Linked DNA regions of Macaca mulatta. The protein of the gene in region 5 purifies or fractionates together with the protein of the main gene of each other region. This does not show direct contact. Links are inferred from orthologs where the notes say so. Each region holds a gene or a part of one and is shown on either strand. Other genes may lie near its edges.

Region 1 (4,059 bases), on a different chromosome or scaffold from region 5:
CTGTGACCCTGCCACCCCTTTCCTAGTACAGTGTCCACAGGGGGCTGTCCTGTCCCATCTCCCAACTCTGCACCCCCTTTCGGGGGGATTGCCCTTCCTCCCTGAGATTTTCAGCACCATCTCAGCCTGGAACCTTCCAGGGATCCCTGGACCTTCTGAGTCCTACCATCTCCCAAGTTCACTCCCTGCTTCCCTCCCCACTCCTCCTAATTCTTTTCCATCTCATGTGCGTCTCAGCCACACTCTGACCACGGCATACACAGACTGTGTGATGAACCTACTCAGGTTGGAGCACTGCTTCTCACATCCCTCCTGCGTCCCCTGTGCCACCAAGTACAAAGCCACCCACACACACCCACTGATGGATTCAAACAAGCGTCGTCATCTTTAGAAGACTTAGGTTTAGAAGTCTTTTTTTTGAGACAGCGTCTTGCTCTGTCGCCCAGGCTGGAGTGCAGTGGTGCGATCTCAGCTCTCTGCAACCTCCGCCTCCCCAGTTCAAAGCGATTCTCCTGCCTCAGCCACCTAAGTAGCTGGGACTACAGGCATGCACCACCACGTCAGGCTAATTTTTTGTGTGTATTTTTAGTAGAGATCGTGTTTCACCACTTTGGCCAGGCTGGTCTCGAACTCCTGACCTCAGGTGATCCACCCGCCTTGGCCTCCCAAAGTGCTGGGATTACAGGCGTGAGCCACTGCGCCCGGCCAGAAGTCATTTTTAAAAATCACATAAAGGATGAGCAGATATACGAAATATGGTCTATCTACACGACAGAATATTATTCATCCTGAAAAAGGAAGGAGATTCGGTCACAGGTGACAACACAGACGAACCTTGAGGACATGAGGCTCAGAGAAATAAGCCAGGCACGGGAAGGACACAGGTTGTATGAGCCCCCTTATACGGGGTCCGGAAAATCATCAGATTTCTAGAGACAGAATGGAGAAGTGTGACTGCCAGGGACTGAGGAGGGAGCCAGGAAGATGTTCTTTAATGGGGGACACAGTTTCAGTTTGGGAAGAGCTGGACGGTGGTGACCACTGCAAGACAATGCAAATGGGCTTAACGCCAGTCCACTGTGCGCTTCAAAGCGGTTCAGTGAGCTACTTTTATGTCATGTGTATTTCACCACGATTTTTAAAAAAATCACATCAAGGACCATTCATGCATTAACTGAAGACTGCTGGGGCCAGGGGAGCCACGGCCTGCCTATCTGATACCCAGGCAAGTAACATCTACACGGGTCCAAGCAGTCCCTGGCCTTGGCTATGCTTCAGAGTCCCGGTCACTGTTACTGTCCTCAGGGCAGCCCCGGCCGGAGGCAGGAGTATCATCTCTTTACAGATGCCTCGCTGGGGAAAGAACGGGAGGTTCCGCGAAAGCACAGAAATGGACACTTAATGGATTCCTGTCCTCATATTAAGCACAAAAACGTACACTGACGGAGAAATTCCTGTCCTCATATTAATTCCTGGCTCCTGGGATTTCTGGCACATATTATGCACATGCTGAGCACTTAATAAACGTGGAATGAACGATCGACTGTTTCTCTCCCCTTTCTGGCAGGTTGGTAACCTTATACCTTCAAGACGAGTCATAAACGTCAGGAGAAACATTTTTGAACTACAAATCAAAGGCTTTGAGAGCAGGCGGGACAGACAGAGGTCAGTTTGGTCCAAGACGGAGTTTGTGTGGGCAGCCCTGAAGCTCACAGCTGAGACCACTGTCCATGAACCTGGGTCCCTGTGACAGCCTCCAGCGGTGCTCAGAGCCCCCGAGGGACAGAAACACCCTCTCTGCCCCTATCTTCAGAGGGGGCTCAGCAGAAGGCCTGGTGGCCCCATCGGGCCTGGAGCGGCCTCCTGGGGGTGGGTGGCTTTCAGGCCTGAGGCCGCTGGGGACTGGTCCGGGTTTCAGTGGGGAACCTGGGCCCCCTCCTGTGCCCCCACCACTCCCTTTCTAGCAGAGTCCCTGCGGGAGGCTGTCCTCTCCCATCTCCCAGCTCCATACCCTCTTTTGGTGGGGCTGCCCTTCCTCCCTGAGCCAGGCCCCACCTTCCCAGGAGCCTCTGAGTCAGGCTGGGCTGTGGTCTGCAAACTTCCGGGCCCTTCAGGTGTCAGAAAAGTTTCTCTTCCTCCCTCTGGGCAGGTGCACCAAGGGGCTGCAGCCTCCTGACCCCCGATTTTTTCCTGTCCAGTAGGAGGAGGTGGGGGTTTTGCTGGGCAGAGATACTCAGAGAGGCTCAGAGAGACACGGAGGAGAGGTACACGAGGTGGAAAGTGAGGGAGAAAAAGGGTTGGAAGGGAAAAGGAGGAGATAAGAGTGAGAGAGAGAAGTGGGGCAGGGGGACAGAGATGGAAGGATACCCCCATCATCGCGGGGCCAGCAGGAGCCACTCCCATCCCCCCCACGCCCCACTACCATGTCATCTCACTAATGCCCCCCATCTCCTCCCCATGTCCTCCTCTCTTTCCCCAGCTCCCCGCCTCGTGCTCCCCCTCCACCAGCTCCCCCATCCCGGCTGCGCCTACCTGGGGCGCTCATGCTCCGCCAGCTGCGCGGGGCGCCTCCTCCACGCAGGCCTCCGGCTTCCTCCAGGCGACCGGGCCCTCCGTCCCCGCGGGCCCGGACCCGTCCTCCGAGGGGCGCTGCCCGCCCAGGGGCTGCAGGGCCAGGAGGGGGCTGCGGGCGGCGCGGGCAGGAGTCCGAAGGCCAGAGGAGGCAGGAGAGAAAAAAGGAGAGAAAGTATGTCATAGGCTAGGAGGGGCGGGGGAGGGAAATGCAAAACCCGACAGGAAATGAGACTAAAAAATGCGAAAGGTTAGAAAAAGATAAGGAAGAGAGGGAGGGGGCGGAGTCGGTGCTTCGGGAGGAGGGCGGTAAGGAGGTGGGGGTGGGAGTGGGGACAGGGCCTGGGGTGGGGGTGCTTGGGGACAGATCAGGGAGCCGGGGATGGGGAGACCAAGGCGAGTCTCGGGGTCCAGGCCACCTGCATCAGTCGGGGTGAGGCTGGACCAGCCTGGTTGTCAGTCCCCACCCAGCTGTGACCCCAGGCAGAGTCCAGGTGGGGCCTTGGAAGGGGCTATCCCCTTTCTAGGTTCTTCAGGCCTTTGGCTCCCCAGGTCTAGCCGAATTTCTCAAGAAATTCCAGAGCCTGTCACTGCAATGTGTGTGTGCGCGGGAGAACGGGGTGTCCCACATAAAATTCTGCAGCCTCCTACACCCCAAGCCTCTTTCCTCCCTCAGCCCCTGTTCTGGAAGCTTCCTGGGCATGCTGGCTGGTCAGCACCCCTGCAAAGGCCTTCCTCACCCCAAAAGCTTTGGGGTCCAAGATATCCATCATCAGCTTGCACCCTCAACGTTCTGGTGAACTATGCTTGTGAGAGAAATTGTGATTTGGATGTCATCATTTTACTTTATTTTTATTTTTTGAGACGGAGTCTTGCTGTGTCACCCAGGCTGGAATGCAGTGGTGCGATCTCAGCTCACTGCAAGCTCCACCTCCTGGGTTCAAGCAATTCTCCCACCTCAGCCTCCCAAGTAGCTGGGACTACAGGCGTGCGCCACCAAACCTATCTAATGTTTGTATTTTTAGTAGAAATGGGGTTTCAACATGATGGCCTGGCTGGCCTCGAACTCCTGACCTCAAGTGATCTGCCCACCTCAGCCTCCCAAAGTGCTGGGACTACAGGTGTGAGCCACCGTGTCCGGCTGGATGTCAGCATTTTGATAATTTACCCCAAATGGCCAGCGTCGTGGGTGGGATGGTCCCAAGGGTTTACAGGGATTGTGGACTCAAAAATCTGGATGAAAGAAAATGTGATACACACAAACACACACACACACACACACACACACACACACACACACACACACACACACACATACACACACCATGGAATACTACTCAGCCATGAAAAAGAACGAAATAAAGTCTTTTGCAGTAACTTGCACTTGGATGGAACTGGAGGCCATTATCTAAAGTGAAGTAACTCAGGAGTGGAAAACCAAATACTCCATGTTCTTACTTAAAAGCGAGAGCTAAGCTATGGGTAGGC
Region 2 (4,265 bases), on a different chromosome or scaffold from region 5:
TCATTTTGAGAACTAAATGAGACAAAGCATTTAAAAGTGCTTAGCACAGAGTTTGGCATATTTATAGGAAGCCCTTGATAAGTGTTCGCTATTACTGCTTTTTTTTTTTTTTTTTTTGGTAAAAAAAGCACGTGTCAACAAACAGCCATTTTAAAAAAATAATCTTGGCCGGGCGCGGTGGCTCAAGCCTGTAATCCCAGCACTTTGGGAGGCCGAGATGGGTGGATCACGAGGTCAGGAGATCGAGACCATCCTGGCTAAAACGGTGAAACCCCGTCTCTACTAAAAAATACAAAAAACTAGCCGGGCGAGGTGGCGGGCGCCTGTAGTCCCAGCTACTCGGGAAGGCTGAGGCAGGAGAATGGCATGAACACGGGAGGCGGAGCTTGCAGTGAGCTGAGATCCGGCCACTGCACTCCAGCCTGGGCAACAGAGCGAGACTCCGTCTCAAAAATAAAAAAAAATAATAAAAAAATAATCTTAATGATAATATAACTTATCAAATAGTTTCTTTAGGACTGATGGCAGAGAGAGGCCAAAAGGAGACCTAGATGGGGGAGGAGGAAGAGGGTCTGTCCCTGGAGAAAGATCTGAGTGGATGGTGCAGGGATCCTGGTCAGGAGAAGACCAGGAAGGGATAAGGTTGGCCCGGCCGCCAGTTCATGTTGCTTCCTCTCTCCTGGCCTTGGCTTTCTCATCTGCAGTGTGCAGGTCAGCTGTGGCTTAGTAAAAGTGCACTAGACCTAGAGTAAGAAAGACCTGGGTCCAAATCCCAGCCCTGCCACTTACCAGCTGTGTGCCCTTGGGCCAGTCACTTCCCCTCTCTGAGCCTCGGTTTCCTCACCTCCTTCCTCACAGCATCTTTGTGAAGATTGAAATGAAATAATGTCCATGAAAGGGCTTGGCACAGGCCTGCCTCCCAGAACACTTGATATGTGCTGGGCGCTGTTCTATGTACTTTACAGAAATCACCTCATTCATTCCTTCTGACAACTCTCTGAGGAAGGGATTATTAACATCTCCATTTGCAAAACGGGAAACGGAGGCACAGGGAAGTTCAGCAACTTGCAGAGGCAGGATTTGAACCTAGCAGTTTTACTGCAGAACCAGAGTTCTTCAACCCACACCACACACACTAGGTGCTTTAGGAAAGGCAGCTGGTGTTAACGTTTTTCTCATCTGATCAGGAAGTTGGGTGGTTAGAGTTGTCACAGTAATTTGTGAAAAATAGGAAGATAAAACAATAATTATGAATTGAGGTGGGTTTGGTCAATTTTGTCTTTCAGCTAGGAAGGTGAGGAGGGACGAACAGCAGAAGGCACTTTGTGGGGGAGGGAGGGGTCGGGGCCCTTGTTCTGGCTGCGTTGGGTGGGTGTCTGGTGCTTCACCCCTTCTAGGCCAGAGATGCTCACCCCAGGACGATGAGTTCACCATACTTGATGGGATCCTCGCCTGGCTGCGCATCTTCACCGGGAGAAGAGAGAACGCAAGAGCCCTTGTTCCCCCGGTGCTGAAGGTCTGAGGTTCGGGGGGACCCCACTTCAGGGTTTCCTTCCAGCACCATTCTGGGCAGAGTGGGAGAGAAAAGAGCTTTGCAGGTTCCCACCCCAGGCCCACCCAATCCCAGCTCCAGCCTGCTGCAGGACCGCCTAGGCTAAGGCAAGGGTGACCTTTCACCGCCTCTACTGCTATGGCAACCACTTCCCCTCTGCCTCCTCTAAACTGCCCGAGGTTGCTGGGATACCAGGGAGGGGTGGCACAGTCAAGAGGGTCAGGATATTCAGTGGTGCCAGAGGAATGGACCAACTTGGGGTGGCCAGAGGCTGCTTTTTGGCCAAGATCCCAGTCTGGGATGTGCTTCAAAGAGGGGCACCCCATGAGTTGGGGGCCCTTACCCCTCATCTCAGACTCAGTTCCTGGTTATGGCTCTTAGCCTCTGGACCTCTGATTTAGCCCCTCTGACAGGTTCTTTGAATCTACCTGTCCATCTGAATCTTTCTGCCCCTTTGAGGTCTAGGCCTCTGTCTGTCCATCTGCTTTCTCAATGACTCTCTGTCCTCCTAGCCGCTGTCCTTTTCGCCGTCTCTCTCCCCCTATTCCCCGTCTCTGCCTGTCTGCCTGTCTGCCCGCCTCCGCCTCACCATCCATCTGCCTCAGTCTCCCCATCTCGGCCTCCCCCTGCGGGCAGGCCAATGGACTCCTGGGTGCGCGCTCTTCCCTCCCTCCCTCAGGTGTCTGCGTCCCCAGCCGCCCGGGTCTCAGGAGGCTTGTGGGGGCGGCGCTCCCCCCTCGAGCTCGGGCTGCAGCACAGCCGTCTCCCGCAGGCAGCCCGTTTGGAAAACATCCTCGCGCTGGAGGGACCGCGCCGGGGCAGGCCCGCGCCCCGCGCCCCGCGCCCCGCGCCCTGCGCCCCGGTTGGGCAGAACGAGAACCGCGGCCCAGCACCTACGCAGGTCCACACCCGGCGGCCCCTCCGCACAACACGCGCGCGCGCACGGCCCCGCACTCCCCCGGCCCGGACGGCGCAGAAACCACCCGCACCCGCGACCGCAGGGAAGCGCGGGCGCGCAGTAGCCACCGGCGCCCGCCCTCGGACCCACTCCCTCCGCCACCCCCAGACACGCAAACACGCCCCCCGCGCCCGCCGGGACCCGCCCGGCGCAGCCCCCGCCCCCTCTGCCCCGGTGGCCTCACCTGGCCACGCTCCGGGACCCGCTGGGCGCCGCTCCCTCACCGCCTAGCCCCTGTTCGGCCCCGGGCCGCTGCGGCGGGATGGGCCAGGCCCGCGGCGGCTCCGCGCTGCCTCGTCACGGGGACACCCGGGGCCGGAGGAGGGGGATGAGCGCGAAGAGCCACGCTCCGCCCCCTGCCCTGAGGCCCCGCCCCATTGTCCCCGCCCCTAGGAGAGCCCCGCCTCACTCCAGACTCCGCCTCTTGCGGCGATGCTTAGCCCTCGTCGGGGGAGCTCCTCCCCTTCGCATGAGACCACGCCCCTCTCCTGGCACCGCCCTCTGACCAGGGAAGCCCCGCCCTCCACTCCGTCTGAGGGACTCCCTTGCTCCTCCTCGCCGGCTCAGGACTCCCCCGTAGTCTACGTGACCCCTCCCCCATTTCAGACTCCCCAGACTCCGCCTCCATTTCCGGGGACTCCGGAGTTCTCCCGGAGACCCGGGCGCCCCCTCCCCACCGTAGGTCAGGGCCCTCACAGGGCGCTGGAGGACCCTTCCCCAGTCTTAGGCCGGGGGACTCCCCACCCCCAGCTCCGACACCTCATCTTCCATCTGGGGACGCCACGCAATTAGAGGAGAGGAGGAAAATGCTAAAGGCAAAGGGGGTGTGCGGCAGCGGTGGAGGCCGGGGAAAGCAGCTGCAGTTGAACAGAGTCGCAGACCTGTCTTCCAGCCCAGCTCGGGCACCCCCCTCCCCTTAGTCCCCCCCGCCCCGCCAGGATGCACACACCACCCGATGTGCTGCAAAGGAAAGAGACCTTTGCGGGAGCACAGCCCCTTCTGGGCCTGGGGCCCAGATCTACCAGTCTACGTTAGGCGCTGTGCGCTGTGCTTTGAGCAAATTAAACCCTTTACTTTAATCCTGGAAGGCAGGCACGATAGTTGCCCATTTTACAGATGAGGAAATAGATTTACAAAAGTGACTTACTTGTAGTTTGCTAGAAACGAGCCAAGAGAGAATCTCAGCTGTATGAGTGGCTTCCGTACCTTATCCTTCTGACTAGGGATGGAGCCTCAGAGATGTAGAAAAGAAACCTTATCTGCATCAGGTAAGGTCCCTATTGCTCAGTACTGTTGGTCTGGAACTATAACTAAAGGCTGGATTATAGTTCCAGACCAAGTCTTTGGTCTTGTGGGTGGTGGTGGGGGTGTTTTATGAGAAAATCAAGGAAGACTGCATAGAGGAGGTGGCTTTTGACTTCCATCATGAAGGATTCCGGGAGATTGCCTAAACATTCCCGAGAGGGAGCCGCTGCCACCCCCACCCCCAAAAACTTGTTGCACCTGAAGCTCCCAATCTACCAGAGTCCCCTGGGGCCCTACCACATCCACCCTGCTAACTCCCCCACCTAAAAATAACCAAAGATACCAACTGCTTTGCCAACTGTTCTGGGGCCCAGCGGCTAGATGAAACAAGAATGCAGCCGACGGCACATCCTTTAGGGGAAACGATACTCGTTAGTCACAGAGAATTTCCCTGCGAGACTCCCACAACCCTGTGACACAGGATAGCTGCCCTCACTGATGCCTCCAGAG
Region 3 (4,151 bases), on a different chromosome or scaffold from region 5:
CAAGAGATTGTAAAAATTGATTTTTATATTTTGAAAATAAAGGCGTAAAATACAGCTTCTATAGTCACATCACCAAAATTAACTCAAAAATTTAATAAAAAAGTTACGTCATCTACAGGGTATTTGAACAACCAATTGGACTCATTACTCATAAGGGGTGGGAAGATTGTTGGGGAAGGTCCACTCATCGGACAGAAGTCAGATTATGGAGACTGATTCACCAATCATTAAAATAAGGGCATGTAACATTGCATAAATTTTTCTTTCAGGTCATCCCAAAGAACAATGCAAACATTCTTCTCCATAGCCCGAGACACACATGTATTTATTATTCCTATTTTATAAGTGAGGAAAGAGACACCAGTGAGTCAACTGCATAGCCTTGTCTAATGCTCAGACTACATAAATACTGCACTGATAAGATCTTAAGTAACAAATTGGAAAAAAGAATGTGATGCAGTAATGCCAGAGTGTTTCACTGGTCTTATGGCTTCCTCGAAGACAGAATTAATTTCCTACCCAATTCAGTGAAGAATTTTAGACTATGAAAATTGTTCATGAGCATGGGAAAGAAACTCCCTCTTCACTTCTTGGTCCCCAAACTGTACAAAGCTTAGATAAACTAAAATCCTGAGAAGCAGCACCCAAAGTGGGAGGATCAATTGGCTTTTCAATACCTATTGGGTCCATCAGTGCTATATTTCCATACAGTGTTTGCATAACTGGTTCTAACATATATCCATCCTCTCTAACCAACCACCACCCTTAAAAGTTGACTACAGACACATATACACACTTGCCCAGCACTTGCGCCACAGAACATAAGGCCCAGAGTAAACAGACACCACACCTTGTATATCACTGAATCTGGATTATGATAGAAAAGAAGTGGAAACAAGCTCTAGAGGTGTCCCAGATCTCCTGTGCCATTTAGGCCATCCAAGCCTGACAGTGAGACAATGAAGAAAAGTCACAGGTAGGTGAAAATCCAGTAACTTTGGCAGGGCAGAAGCTGAGGAATTTATCTGATATTGGATACAGCTTCTGGCCAATCAGGCGTCTGTGATGACGTATTTTCACATTAGATATAGGAGGAGGAGAAGAGAATGTTGTAATCATGGATGTTAACTCACTAAGAACTGAATGCTGGGCCTAGTTAAATCCCTGTAGGAAGTAAAATACACAAGACTAGTGACCAGACCCATTGACTAATACACAGTTACAGGTCTATGGCACGTGGTTGTAATGTTCTTCTGAAAACAGAAACTAATGTTAACCTTCCCTTAAAACCTGTACAAACCAGTAAGTGAAAGCCATTTACAATTTCTGGCCATTTAACAGTCTTTTGGTTCAATTTACTGTGGCAAAAATAGCACACATTTCCTCTACTTAACGATCTTCCCGTGAGAGAAACTGAGAGTGGGAGAAACTGAATTGTATTGAGTTTGATATAAAACGTTCCTGATAACACATAATAAACCACAACCAAAACAAAAGCAATAAAAAGCAAAACATCGTAGATTCTAAAGCAGCTCTGTCCAATAAACATAGAATGTGAAATCTACCACATACAATTTAAAATTTTCTCATGGCCACATAAAGTAAAAAGAAACACATTAAAATGAATTTTAATCTTATATTTAACCCAAGATATCAAAAATATTATCATTTCAGCATATAATCAATAAACAAATATTAATAAAATATTACAAGTTTTTAAAAATAAATACTAAGCATTCGAACTCTGGTATTTTACACTTAGGTCACATTTCAATTCGGACGGGCACATTTCAAGTGCTCAGTACTCACCTGTGGCTAAGGGCTGCCTACTGGACACTGCAGCCCTACAGCCCGATTTCAAAAATAAGGAAAAAACAAAGCAAGCAAAACCCACACCCACTCCATATAAACACACACCAATTTCAATAAACCCGGCGTTTAGAGTTTGGCAGTGATTGCTGATTTTTGGAGTACGGAGAGAGAACGCTTAGGAGTAAGAGGGAAGGAGAGAAAGGGAAATGGAGAGATGCGTGGAGGAATGCAACTGCTGCATCTCCAGAGAAGTGCGTGCTCCCTACCGTGCCAGAGCTTGAAGGGTCGGTGCTCCCTACCTCCCAAGCTTGAAGGGCTGCCTAGAGGTGACGAGGTGGGGCCGGCCCCAAGCGGTCACTGCCATTTGGGCTCTAGAGCCCGCTTGTCAGGGGGCTTGAGGGGATGCAGGATAGTTGGGGGCTCTTCCCGGGAACCCCATTGGCTGCCTACCTGTCGAGCAGAGGGGTGTGGATGTGCAGGTGCTTCACGGCCACCTGGACGCGCCAGTCTGCGTGGCGGGCGGACGACACAGTGCCCGAGGCGCCGCGGCTCAGGTAGCGCAGGTCGGCGAGCTTGTGGTAGGGAATGGTGGGCAGGGCGCTGCAGATGGCCTCCCCGTTCATGGTCCCGGGCGCTCAGGCCGGTTCCAGTTGTGCCCCCTGCTGCGGCGGCTCCCAAGGCTCCCCCGCCGCGCTCGGGAGCCCAGATCCGCCCCTGCACTAGCGAGGCCGGCAAGACCCTTTTTGCCCCGCGACACTAGGTCACGAGGGCGCCCATTCCCCGGGCGGCCCACGCCAGCCGCTGCTTCTCCGAACCAGAGCTGACTTCTTTTCTAGAGACTAGTGCCAACGCCGTAGCGCCGCGAAGGAGCTTCCTCTCTCGCCGCCCCGGCCGGCCCTCCCCGGCGCGCGCCGCCACCAGCTCAGGCCGCCTGAGCTCCTCCCTCCCCAAACTTCGCAGGCTACGTCAGCTGCGGACAGCAAGGCGGGGAGAGGGGCAGCCCGCTCGCGGCCCTTCCGCCTGGCTCTCGCCTCGGCCTGCGACCGGGATCCTCCGCCCGGGTCGCGCAGCCGAGGCCGAGGGCTGGGGCGGGCGGCCGGGAAGTGGGAAAGGGAGCCAGAGGCGCTCCTTTTGTCTTCTCTTCCCATCCCCCAGGTTTGGGAAAGTTTTGCTTTTGGGAAGCCCCTCTCTTCAGCCTGCTGGCGGGTGTCGGATTGGTTAGCCGCCAACCCCCTCCCCCCACCCCTCCCCCCACCCCTCCCCCCACCCCCACCCCACCCCACCCCTCCCCCCACCCCCACCCCACCCCCACCCCACCCCTCCCCTCACTCCTCCCCCACCCCCCACCCTCACCCTCACCCTCACCCTCACCCCGACCGCCAAAATTCTCTGGGCCACAGGTCTTCCGGAAGTTGCCAATCCCGGTAGCTGCAGCGTCCGGCTGGGGTCTTTCTTAGGGGGCTCGGGGTTCTGCTTTCTGACTCCCTCCCGACTCTCCGCCTGCGCAGGAAGCGATTTGGGGGTATTGTGAATTCCGAGGGCCCCACACTTAAGAGGTTGTACTCTCACCTGTCTACCTGGACTCCAATTTCCATATTTCCAGTCACTTCAGGACTGAGAGATGGATGATAAACCCTGTCATAGTGGAGCAAGTTGAGGTGTTTAACCGCTGTTATGTGGGATCTGCCTTTCTCCCTCTTCTTTCTTACTTCCGTAAGTATATATATGCAGAGAGTGAAAAATAACCTTGAGAGTGTCCATCCCTCTGACTCCAGGTAAGACTGCAAATAATTCTTTCTTATAAATCTGGGAGGAATGCAGTCAGTGTTTCATGCCAACCAAAAAAGACTGCAAACGATTTCCATCTTGCTGCTTTGAACACCTTTCTACTTAGGTGACTATTTTGTAAGATATGAGTGCAAATGTTATATACAATACCAAGTCCATACTAGATGTTTAATTAATTCTAGGGCTTCAGTAATCAGGAATGACTCGAGCAGATTTCTGCCTACAGAAAGCTAATGCGTCTCGTATTTTTGCATTACCTGAAATGAAAGTAGCAATGTTAGGTTTTACAATAGTGGAAGGTTGTAAACGATAGTGTGTTAAAAATTTTTGATCATTTATAATAAAATGTTCAGCACTAAATATATGGTCTGATGCTCTGTGCTTTCTTGCTTAATACACTTTTTTTTGTTTTTTTTCTTTTCGAGAGGGAGTCTTGCTCTGCCACCTAGGCTAGAGTGTAGTGGCGCGATCTCAGCTCATTGCAACCTCCGCCTCCCTGGTTCAAGCAATTCCCCTGCCTCAGCCTGCCAAGTAGCTCGGATTACAGGCGC
Region 4 (4,022 bases), on a different chromosome or scaffold from region 5:
TATCTGTCACCGTGCAGCCTGGAACAGCCACTTCACTCTCTAGGCTTCAGTTTCCCCCTTCTGGAAAACGAGGAGCAAAGTCTCCGTGACCTGCACTTGTTAAGCTACTCTGGCTGCTTGTCAAAGCATTCAAGGCTGGGCAGTGGCTGGGGACATGTTCAATAGAATCTGCTGGGCATAGGCTCCCAGGGCTCATCCCTTTGTCCCTGGGTGGTCGGGAAGTCCTTGAAGGCATTCTTCCCACTCTCCCCAAACACAGTATGCCGGAGGAGGCAAGGGGGTCCTCCGTCAGCGCTGGCTGGTCCAGCTGGTAGCCCCAGACCCCCTTGCCTCCGGGGCTTGCTGATGAGACCCTCCAGCTACTCCGCTTGCAAAGGGGAGGGGCCTGGGGAAGAGCTCTATAGAAAACAGTGGGCCAGGCCAGGCACGGTAGCTCACACCTGTAATTCCAGCACTTTGGGAGGCTGAGGTGGGCAGACCACTTGAGGTCAGGAGTTTGAGACCAGCCTGGCTAACATGGCAAAACCTCATCTCTACTAAAAATACAAAAATTAGGCAAGTATGGTGGCGTGTGCCTGTGGTCCCAGCTACTCGGGAGGCTGAGGCAGGAAGATTGCTTGAACCCGGAGGGTGGAGGTTGTGGTGAGCTGAGATCACACCACTGCACTGCAGCCTGGGTGACAGAGAAAGACTCCACCTCAAAAAAAAGTGACCCCACCATGGGCCAAATCCTGAGCGGGGTGCTGCTGGGGAGCTGGAAGTGCAGGCCTGGCCTGCTAGCAGGACCCGCTCACACAGGCTAAAAGCCCCAGGCCCCGCGACCGGCTCCAGCCAGGTGTCAGGAGTGCTTTGGGTCCTCGGAAGCGAGCCGGGCCAGGTGAGCCTACCTGGCAGTGGAGCCGGTCCTCCAGGGAGCCGTTGGGCAGGAAGCCGTACACGAGGCAGTAGAAGCCGTTCTGAGCACAGTAGCCAGCAAAGTCCACAATGTTTGGGTGACGAAACCTGTTTGAAAAAGGGGAGCACTTTCCATCAGGCCAGACTGGGTGGGCAGCCCTGGCTGGGGCCTCAGCTTGCCTGGGCCTGGCAGGCCTCAGGCGCCCAAGGGAGCCAGGTCGTGTAGTGTGTGGTCTGAAGCCCCACGGGACCTGGTGTGGCTCCCCATCTGGCCTCACCTGGACAGCTGCTCCACCTCGGTCAGGAAGCTCTGCTTCACTGCAGTCCACTCCAGGTCAGCGTCCTGCAGCCCCCAGGGTGCGGTGGGGGAAGGGGCAGGGAAGACGGGCAGGGTGAGGCTCTCGAACCGAAGGCCTTTGGGCCACCAGTGCCACGTGCCTGAGGCCCAGAACAACCAAGGGGCCAGGGACCCTGCGCCGGAATGAGGGCTGAAGGAGTTGTGTGGGGGAAGCGAGGGGGAAAGGCTGGAGAAGTGAGTGAGGGTTGTCTGATGGCCTTCCAGGGTCCCTGCCAGGGTGCGACACTCACCTCCTTCAGCCTCTTCACAGCATACACCGTGTTCCTCATCACTGCCCGGTACACGCACCCAAAGCCACCCTCCCCGATCTTGAGCTCCTCTGAGAAGTTGTGGGTGCCCTGGGAAATCTCACAGAGGGGCCAGCAAAATGGAGAGGGGTGGGCTCCCTGCAGGAGGGACACCGAGCTCTCTGGGCCTGGCTGTGGAAAGAGAGCCTGGATCAGGTGGGGTCCCTGTCTCCTCCCTTCTGCCGAAGGCTCCAGGCTGTCCCCACCACAGCTGCCTCCCAGCTGACCCAGCTTGGCTGACTGCGGCTCTGTGGTACACCAAAGGCTGAATTCCTTCCTCCTTGTCTCGAATCTTCCCTAGGGGACAGGAGACACCTACCTTGGTAGAGGAAGGGGCTGGAGATGGCGGTGGAGGCCGCAGGGAAGCAGGGCTTGGGACCAGGCCGAGCTCAGGCCCTGAATGGGTCTGGGAGCCTGGAAAAGCTTCATAAAGACACCAGTGAGAGGCAGGCAGAGACCAGCAGCAGGGTCTACAGCCGTGGCCATGGTCAAGGTGGGCCCTTCTTTGGGTCCACCGAGCCCAACAACCGGGCCCTCTTACCTGGGGAGAGGAGGGTGGAGGCTGAGGATGGCAACTTCCGGGGGCTCCAGGCCTCGGCCTCGGCGGGTGCAGGGATGCTGCTGGGCCTCGGGGCAGTGGTGCTTGGGGACGGAAGCGGGGCGGGAGGGTGCCCTGGGACGTCAAGGAAGGAAAGGAAGGTTGAGGCCCGGGTCGGGGAGCCCCGTGGGGCCCGCCGGCCTCCCGGCCGTGGGGTGCCCGGAGTCCCGCGCTCACAGGCTGTGATGATGTCCCGCGCGCGGAGCAGCTGCAGGTGCGTGAGGATGTGCACCAGGTCGGCCACACGGGCGTTGCGGTTGATCCAGGGCCACAGAACGCTGGCCGTGCGCTGCCCGGAGCGCTCGCACAGCCGCAGCTCAGTCTGGTCGCGCACGATCAGGGCGGCTGCGGAGCAGGGGGCGTCAGGCGTCGGCGCCGGGAGCCCGCGCGCCCCCCGCCCTCCGCCCCCCGGCCGCCAGCCGCCACCCACCGAACTGGCACCAGTCGGCGGGCTCCAGGGCGTCCATCACTTTGTAGAAGCGGCACATGACCCAGGGCGGCACCTCGTACAAGAAGTGCTGGGCGCCGGGGGCTGCGGGCTCTCCCGGGCCCGGCCCCCCGGCCATGGCCGCCGCCGCCGCCGCCGCCGCCGGGCCGGGGCCTGTCGGGGCCTCTCAAGGCCGCGGCGGGCACGGGCCTGGGCCGGCCGGGTCCGCGGACACTGACTCACTTCCCCTTCGAGCCGGCCTCGTGCGACACCCGGCGGGGCGGAAGGGGCGGTGCCCGGGCTCGCCGCCATCTTGCGCGCCGCGGCCGCGCGCTCGGCCACACGGGGGCGCCCCGCGTCGGGGAGGGTGCGGGTCCCGGCGCGTTTCGCGCGCGGCGGTCGGCCTCCCGGGCTCGCCCGGGCGGGGCTCTGGAGGACGAACGGCAGCTCCCGGCGTTGGGGACCGAGGGCAGGGCGGAGGCCCGGGCTGCTCGGAAAGGGGCCGGGGCCGGGCCTGCCGAAAGCTCCTGGGCGGCCCGGCGGGAGCCCTGCTCTCCACTGCGGCCTACAGGGCTGTTACCAGGAGCCCTGCCGGTCCGCCCCACGTCTAGCCCCCTGCACAGAGCAGCAGCCTTGAGCCATTCAGACTCCTTGGGTGTCCTGAAATGTGCCAAGAACGCTGGCCCCCACAGCCGTGAGTGTACGCGTTGCTGCTGCCCCAGCCCTCGTTTGGCAAGGGTGAGCTCAAGCAGTTGTGAAGGCTTCCTGAGCCCGCCGGCAGAGCTCCTGTCCCCTCCTGGGCATCGTCCTTGAGCACTTGTCTGGACCGCCACCCCCGGTCCCCGCCCTGAGATGGGGAAGACCCCACAAGCAGCAACGCAGACTTACTCTTTTTAAAGTTTCTCCAGCTGGATGTCTCTCCCAGCGACAGTTCCCCTTGCCCTCTTGATCCTGACAGGGAAGGGGTTCCCCACCCCTAGCCCTACAGACTTAGAACTTTTCCTAGAAACGAGATCTGCCAAGGCCCACAGCTGGCCCCTGTTGGAGTCTCTTCCCAGAAGCCACCACCACTGTGGCCACTCCTAAGGAAGATGCCAACCATACCATGAAACCCATGGCTTCTCACGGGATAGACTTTACTGAGATGTACCAACTCAAGAATGTGAAATGACTATGCACACCCATGCTAACCTCCACGGGGGGACTTGTCCTGCTTACACACAAAGGCCCAACAGCTTCTGGAACAGGGCTGGTGCACGAGATGCTCAATGCATACAAGTTGACTTTTCAATCCTGGGATCTACCTTTCAAGGCCCGGCCTTTAGAGGGTACCTTCTAGTATGTGCATGTGAAGCTGGACTCCTTTGAGCAGTTGTCTCCTCCAGCTCCTTACCAACCTGGTGAGGCTGCTCCTGAGAGCCAAGGAAGTCTAAGTAACAAGGGGGCCCCCTTTGGGCA
Region 5 (3,510 bases):
CTACTCTTCCCTTCTGTTTTAGCAATAGTACTCTGATTTTATTTAGGACAGAAAAGTCATCAGATAAAAGAGGGCAGATCTCCTCTTCCCTTGGAGCTACGTGTAGCCATTCGACCATGTTACTCTGACCAATGACGTGTGGACATTGTTAGGAAAGGCATCTGGGAATGTTCCTTCAAAGAACTTGGATGCCTATTTGCCCTACCCCCATGTCTTCCTTCCTGCTGCCTGGAATGTAGAAGTGATGAAAGGGAACTTTAACAACCATTTTGGAGCACAGGATAACTTTGAGAATGGAAGCTATACAATAGGGATTACGGCACAGAAATAGGAGACCAGTTACTTCAAGATCACAGAGCCCACTACCTTCAGACTTGTTTATGTCTGAAAAATAATGCTTATGTGTTATAGACACTGTTATTTTGGAAATCTGTTATATCTAATGGATTCTAATACTAGCTGATAAAAATCAATGATCATGATTAGTTGAAGACAAGTATAGTATGATGGTCCATCTTGACAACTTCTTTCTGAAAGAGCTCCACACACAATAAGAATATTCTATTTAGAAAAAAACCAAATAAGTGAAAAAAATACCTAAAAAATTGGTTAGCTAAGTTAAAAAAGATGCAAATACACATAGAAATACACATTTATACGTATATATATAGTTAAAAGACTGGGGTAAATACACAAAAATGTTAAGTGTTTATCTCTGAGTGGGGTAATTATGTAAGTTTTTTTGGCTTGTTTACATTTCCACATTTTCCACAACAGAAATGTGTTTACTTTTAAAATCAGCTCCCCCCAATCCCTGGAAGGAATCAGCAAAAAACAACGAAGTCCAAACTAAACCAGCATTACTAAAATGAAACCTGGTCAGAAAATTAGGTTGCCAGTTTACTTAGGTAACAAAACATGTAATTGTTTTTGTGCTGACCAGTTCTTCCATGATTAATAATTTTAAGAACTGAACAATGGAATTTAAATGCTAGCTTTTCCAAGATCCAATAAAATTATGATCTTTTACTTTACAATTAAAAAAATTAACCATAACCAGCTTAGCTAATATTTTGTCACTGGAATGAAGGAGCAGATAGAAGGTCAAATCATACGTGGATCTGGAATACATTTTTCTGTTAAATTTGAAACAAAATATTTGCTATTATTAGAGTTCAGCACAAAAATCTAGTAGTATCACTCAAAATCCCCAAAATATTCCGGTTTTGGCAGAATTTCTCACTCAGACTTTCAACTCATGTTTGAGCAGAAAGAATTACATTTGATAAAATCTGTAAATGAGGAAGGCATACTTTCTCATCCAAATAATTTTACAAGTCATACCTTCCTTATTTGGAATTTGAGATAAATGCAAAATTATTGCTAGTAACTTAGAAAAATATATTGTAAACCTACTTCCTATTTAAAAAAAAAAAAAAAAAGACACACACACAAAACCTCTGACAACTGAAACTACCATGGCCAAAAAGGCTTATATACATTTCACTCTTCAGACTTGTAGTTCCTTTTTACCTGTGGTTGCAGCGATCCTAGCTTCTATTTCAGACATGTCAGCACTCATCCTCTTTCCCTCAGAGGTTGGGGGCAAGCTCTCCACACTGCTCCCACGGGAGGCTCCCAAGCTTAAACGTCCAGATTCACTCTGTTAAAATTACAGGTCAATCTGAATTACTGAAGTTCTTTAGATTTAGCAGTCTTAGGCAACCTAAAAGGAGGAAGATGGCAAGTAGGATTCTGATGGATCCTGTTCTGCTCTGAAAGGAGAGGGAAGTTTGCACGAGAGGGAGCTACAGCAGTAAGGGAAAGCAAGCTGCAGATACTGTTTTTATGAAAGAGTAGTCACTAGAACTGGGGCTAAAAGCCCCAATTATTCATTAACCTAAATGCCTCAGGCAAAATGAATAAACTCACTCCTTACAATATTTTTAAAAATCAACAACGGCAAAAATATAAATCTGAATAGCATGAAATGATACACTTAGGACAACTCCTCTAACTGGGCAGCACAGCCAAAATATATCCGTTTTACATTTTTAACCATCAACCATTACATTTAAGGATTATTATAGATAGGGAGTTAGAGTTGGCAAAGGTAGCAATCATTAGAAGGAAAAACCATTTGGTAATAAATGGTAGGAGACTCTCATTACAAGTCTCTATTTGTAAGCTCTTCTATATGTTTCAGGAAGAAAATTCAGGATTTATAAAATAGAAGATGGTAAATAATTAATTTCATTTAGTATAATATTGTGACTACTGTTAAGGTTACCAATTTTACTTGTAATAACAAAACAAACCTGTTGCTTTGCCTGATTTTTCAACAATTTTGACTCTAAGCGCTTAATAGTATCATTTGTAGCAGGAACTTGCTCCATATTAGTGTCACTTTTATTACTCGTATTTGTAGAAGCAATGTCCATGAATGAGCCTAGGAAAAGCAGAAACATTTATGACTACTGGTTGGAAATAATAAAAATGCTTCACTTAGTATTATGTAACTTACATTCTTTTATAAACTAGCCAGGCAGGAACAGAAATAAGACTTTTCAAGCTAATGAAGATATCCAAACAAACCCATTTTAAGCAAAACTTAAGGCTAGCACAAAAAGGAACCAAGATGCCTAAATAGTCTTCTAATAGTCAAGAATAACTTAAGGTTTTTAACCTGAGCTAGTAGAAGAACTGAGGGCTATTAATTGAGATGGGGAAAGACTACAGGAAGATTGAGTTTGAAGGAAGTATCAGGAACTCTGTTTGGAAAATATTGAGTTTCTAGTAGATGTATAGAAAGTAGTTGGATATATGAGTATAGAGTTCAGGTATAAGATGGAAAAAATTATGAGCCAGCAGATGGTATATAATGCCACAATACTGGATGAGGTTACCAAGGAAATGAGTGCAGACAGATAAGTGAAGAAGCCAAATGACTGGGCCCTAGGCACTTCAACATTTCTAGGTTGGGGAGATGAGGAATAACCAGCAAAGAAAACTGAGAACAGATGGCCAGAGATGTAAGATGGAATCTAGGCTAGTATGGTATCTCAGAGGCCAACTGAATAAAGTGCTGTGTGTAAGAAGGAGAAAGTAATGAATTAGATCAAGTGCTACTGAGAGTCAAGATGAGAAATGAAAATGATTCCTTAAATGTAGTGATGTAGAGATAACTAGTGACCTTGACAAGAACAATTCTGAAGTACTGGCATAATATGTCTGAATGGAGTCGGCTCAAGAAAGAAGGGGAAAAGAGAAGCTAGAGAATGCAAATACAGACTACGTATGTTCTAGGAATGATCCAGTAGAAAGTTAAAGCTGATGATGCAAGAGAGAGAGGAGAATTGCTCAGAAAAGTAGATGGGATATAATGCAGATGGGATATAATGCACAGGCAGAAAGGTACACCTTTGGCCAGAAGTATGGATAGTTCAGCCAGAGTAACAGAAGAAGGCAGAGTAGATGGGCACAGATGTTGTGGAAGCTGTCTTCTGATTA

What was found. Proteins that work in one complex are often made in the same cells at the same time.
Region 1: the proteins of MAP3K7 (region 5) and CARD11 purify together in Homo sapiens (affinity purification with western blotting; 3 studies listed by BioGRID). This does not show direct contact. The link is inferred for Macaca mulatta from reciprocal best matches to the Homo sapiens genes MAP3K7 and CARD11.
Region 2: the proteins of MAP3K7 (region 5) and PELI3 purify together in Homo sapiens (affinity purification with western blotting; 3 studies listed by BioGRID and IntAct, with this or other methods). This does not show direct contact. The link is inferred for Macaca mulatta from reciprocal best matches to the Homo sapiens genes MAP3K7 and PELI3.
Region 3: the proteins of MAP3K7 (region 5) and RIPK2 purify together in Homo sapiens (affinity purification with western blotting; 4 studies listed by BioGRID). This does not show direct contact. The link is inferred for Macaca mulatta from reciprocal best matches to the Homo sapiens genes MAP3K7 and RIPK2.
Region 4: the proteins of MAP3K7 (region 5) and IRAK1 purify together in Homo sapiens (affinity purification with western blotting; 5 studies listed by BioGRID). This does not show direct contact. The link is inferred for Macaca mulatta from reciprocal best matches to the Homo sapiens genes MAP3K7 and IRAK1.

Annotation. Positions count from the first base shown.
Region 1 is NC_133408.1:37,050,937-37,054,995, forward strand, and holds the start of CARD11 (caspase recruitment domain-containing protein 11), read right to left. Parts: upstream 2,810-4,059; 5' UTR 2,533-2,809; intron 1-2,532. UniProt on the Homo sapiens protein: Adapter protein that plays a key role in adaptive immune response by transducing the activation of NF-kappa-B downstream of T-cell receptor (TCR) and B-cell receptor (BCR) engagement.
Region 2 is NC_133419.1:7,948,687-7,952,951, forward strand, and holds the start of PELI3 (E3 ubiquitin-protein ligase pellino homolog 3), read right to left. Parts: upstream 2,810-4,265; 5' UTR 2,695-2,809; intron 1,566-2,694; 5' UTR 1,565-1,565; coding exon 1,413-1,564; intron 862-1,412; coding exon of another isoform or gene 790-861; intron 1-789. UniProt on the Homo sapiens protein: E3 ubiquitin ligase catalyzing the covalent attachment of ubiquitin moieties onto substrate proteins. Involved in the TLR and IL-1 signaling pathways via interaction with the complex containing IRAK kinases and TRAF6.
Region 3 is NC_133413.1:100,214,699-100,218,849, reverse strand, and holds the start of RIPK2 (receptor-interacting serine/threonine-protein kinase 2), read right to left. Parts: upstream 2,810-4,151; 5' UTR 2,436-2,809; coding exon 2,263-2,435; intron 1-2,262.
Region 4 is NC_133426.1:160,268,555-160,272,576, forward strand, and holds the start of IRAK1 (interleukin-1 receptor-associated kinase 1), read right to left. Parts: upstream 2,810-4,022; 5' UTR 2,704-2,809; coding exon 2,568-2,703; intron 2,483-2,567; coding exon 2,315-2,482; intron 2,213-2,314; coding exon 2,081-2,212; intron 1,963-2,080; coding exon 1,859-1,962; intron 1,672-1,858; coding exon 1,483-1,671; intron 1,238-1,482; coding exon 1,173-1,237; intron 1,003-1,172; coding exon 888-1,002; intron 1-887.
Region 5 is NC_133409.1:95,420,010-95,423,519, reverse strand, and holds part of MAP3K7 (mitogen-activated protein kinase kinase kinase 7), read right to left. Parts: intron 2,450-3,510; coding exon 2,319-2,449; intron 1,664-2,318; coding exon 1,534-1,663; intron 1-1,533. UniProt on the Homo sapiens protein: Serine/threonine kinase which acts as an essential component of the MAP kinase signal transduction pathway. Plays an important role in the cascades of cellular responses evoked by changes in the environment.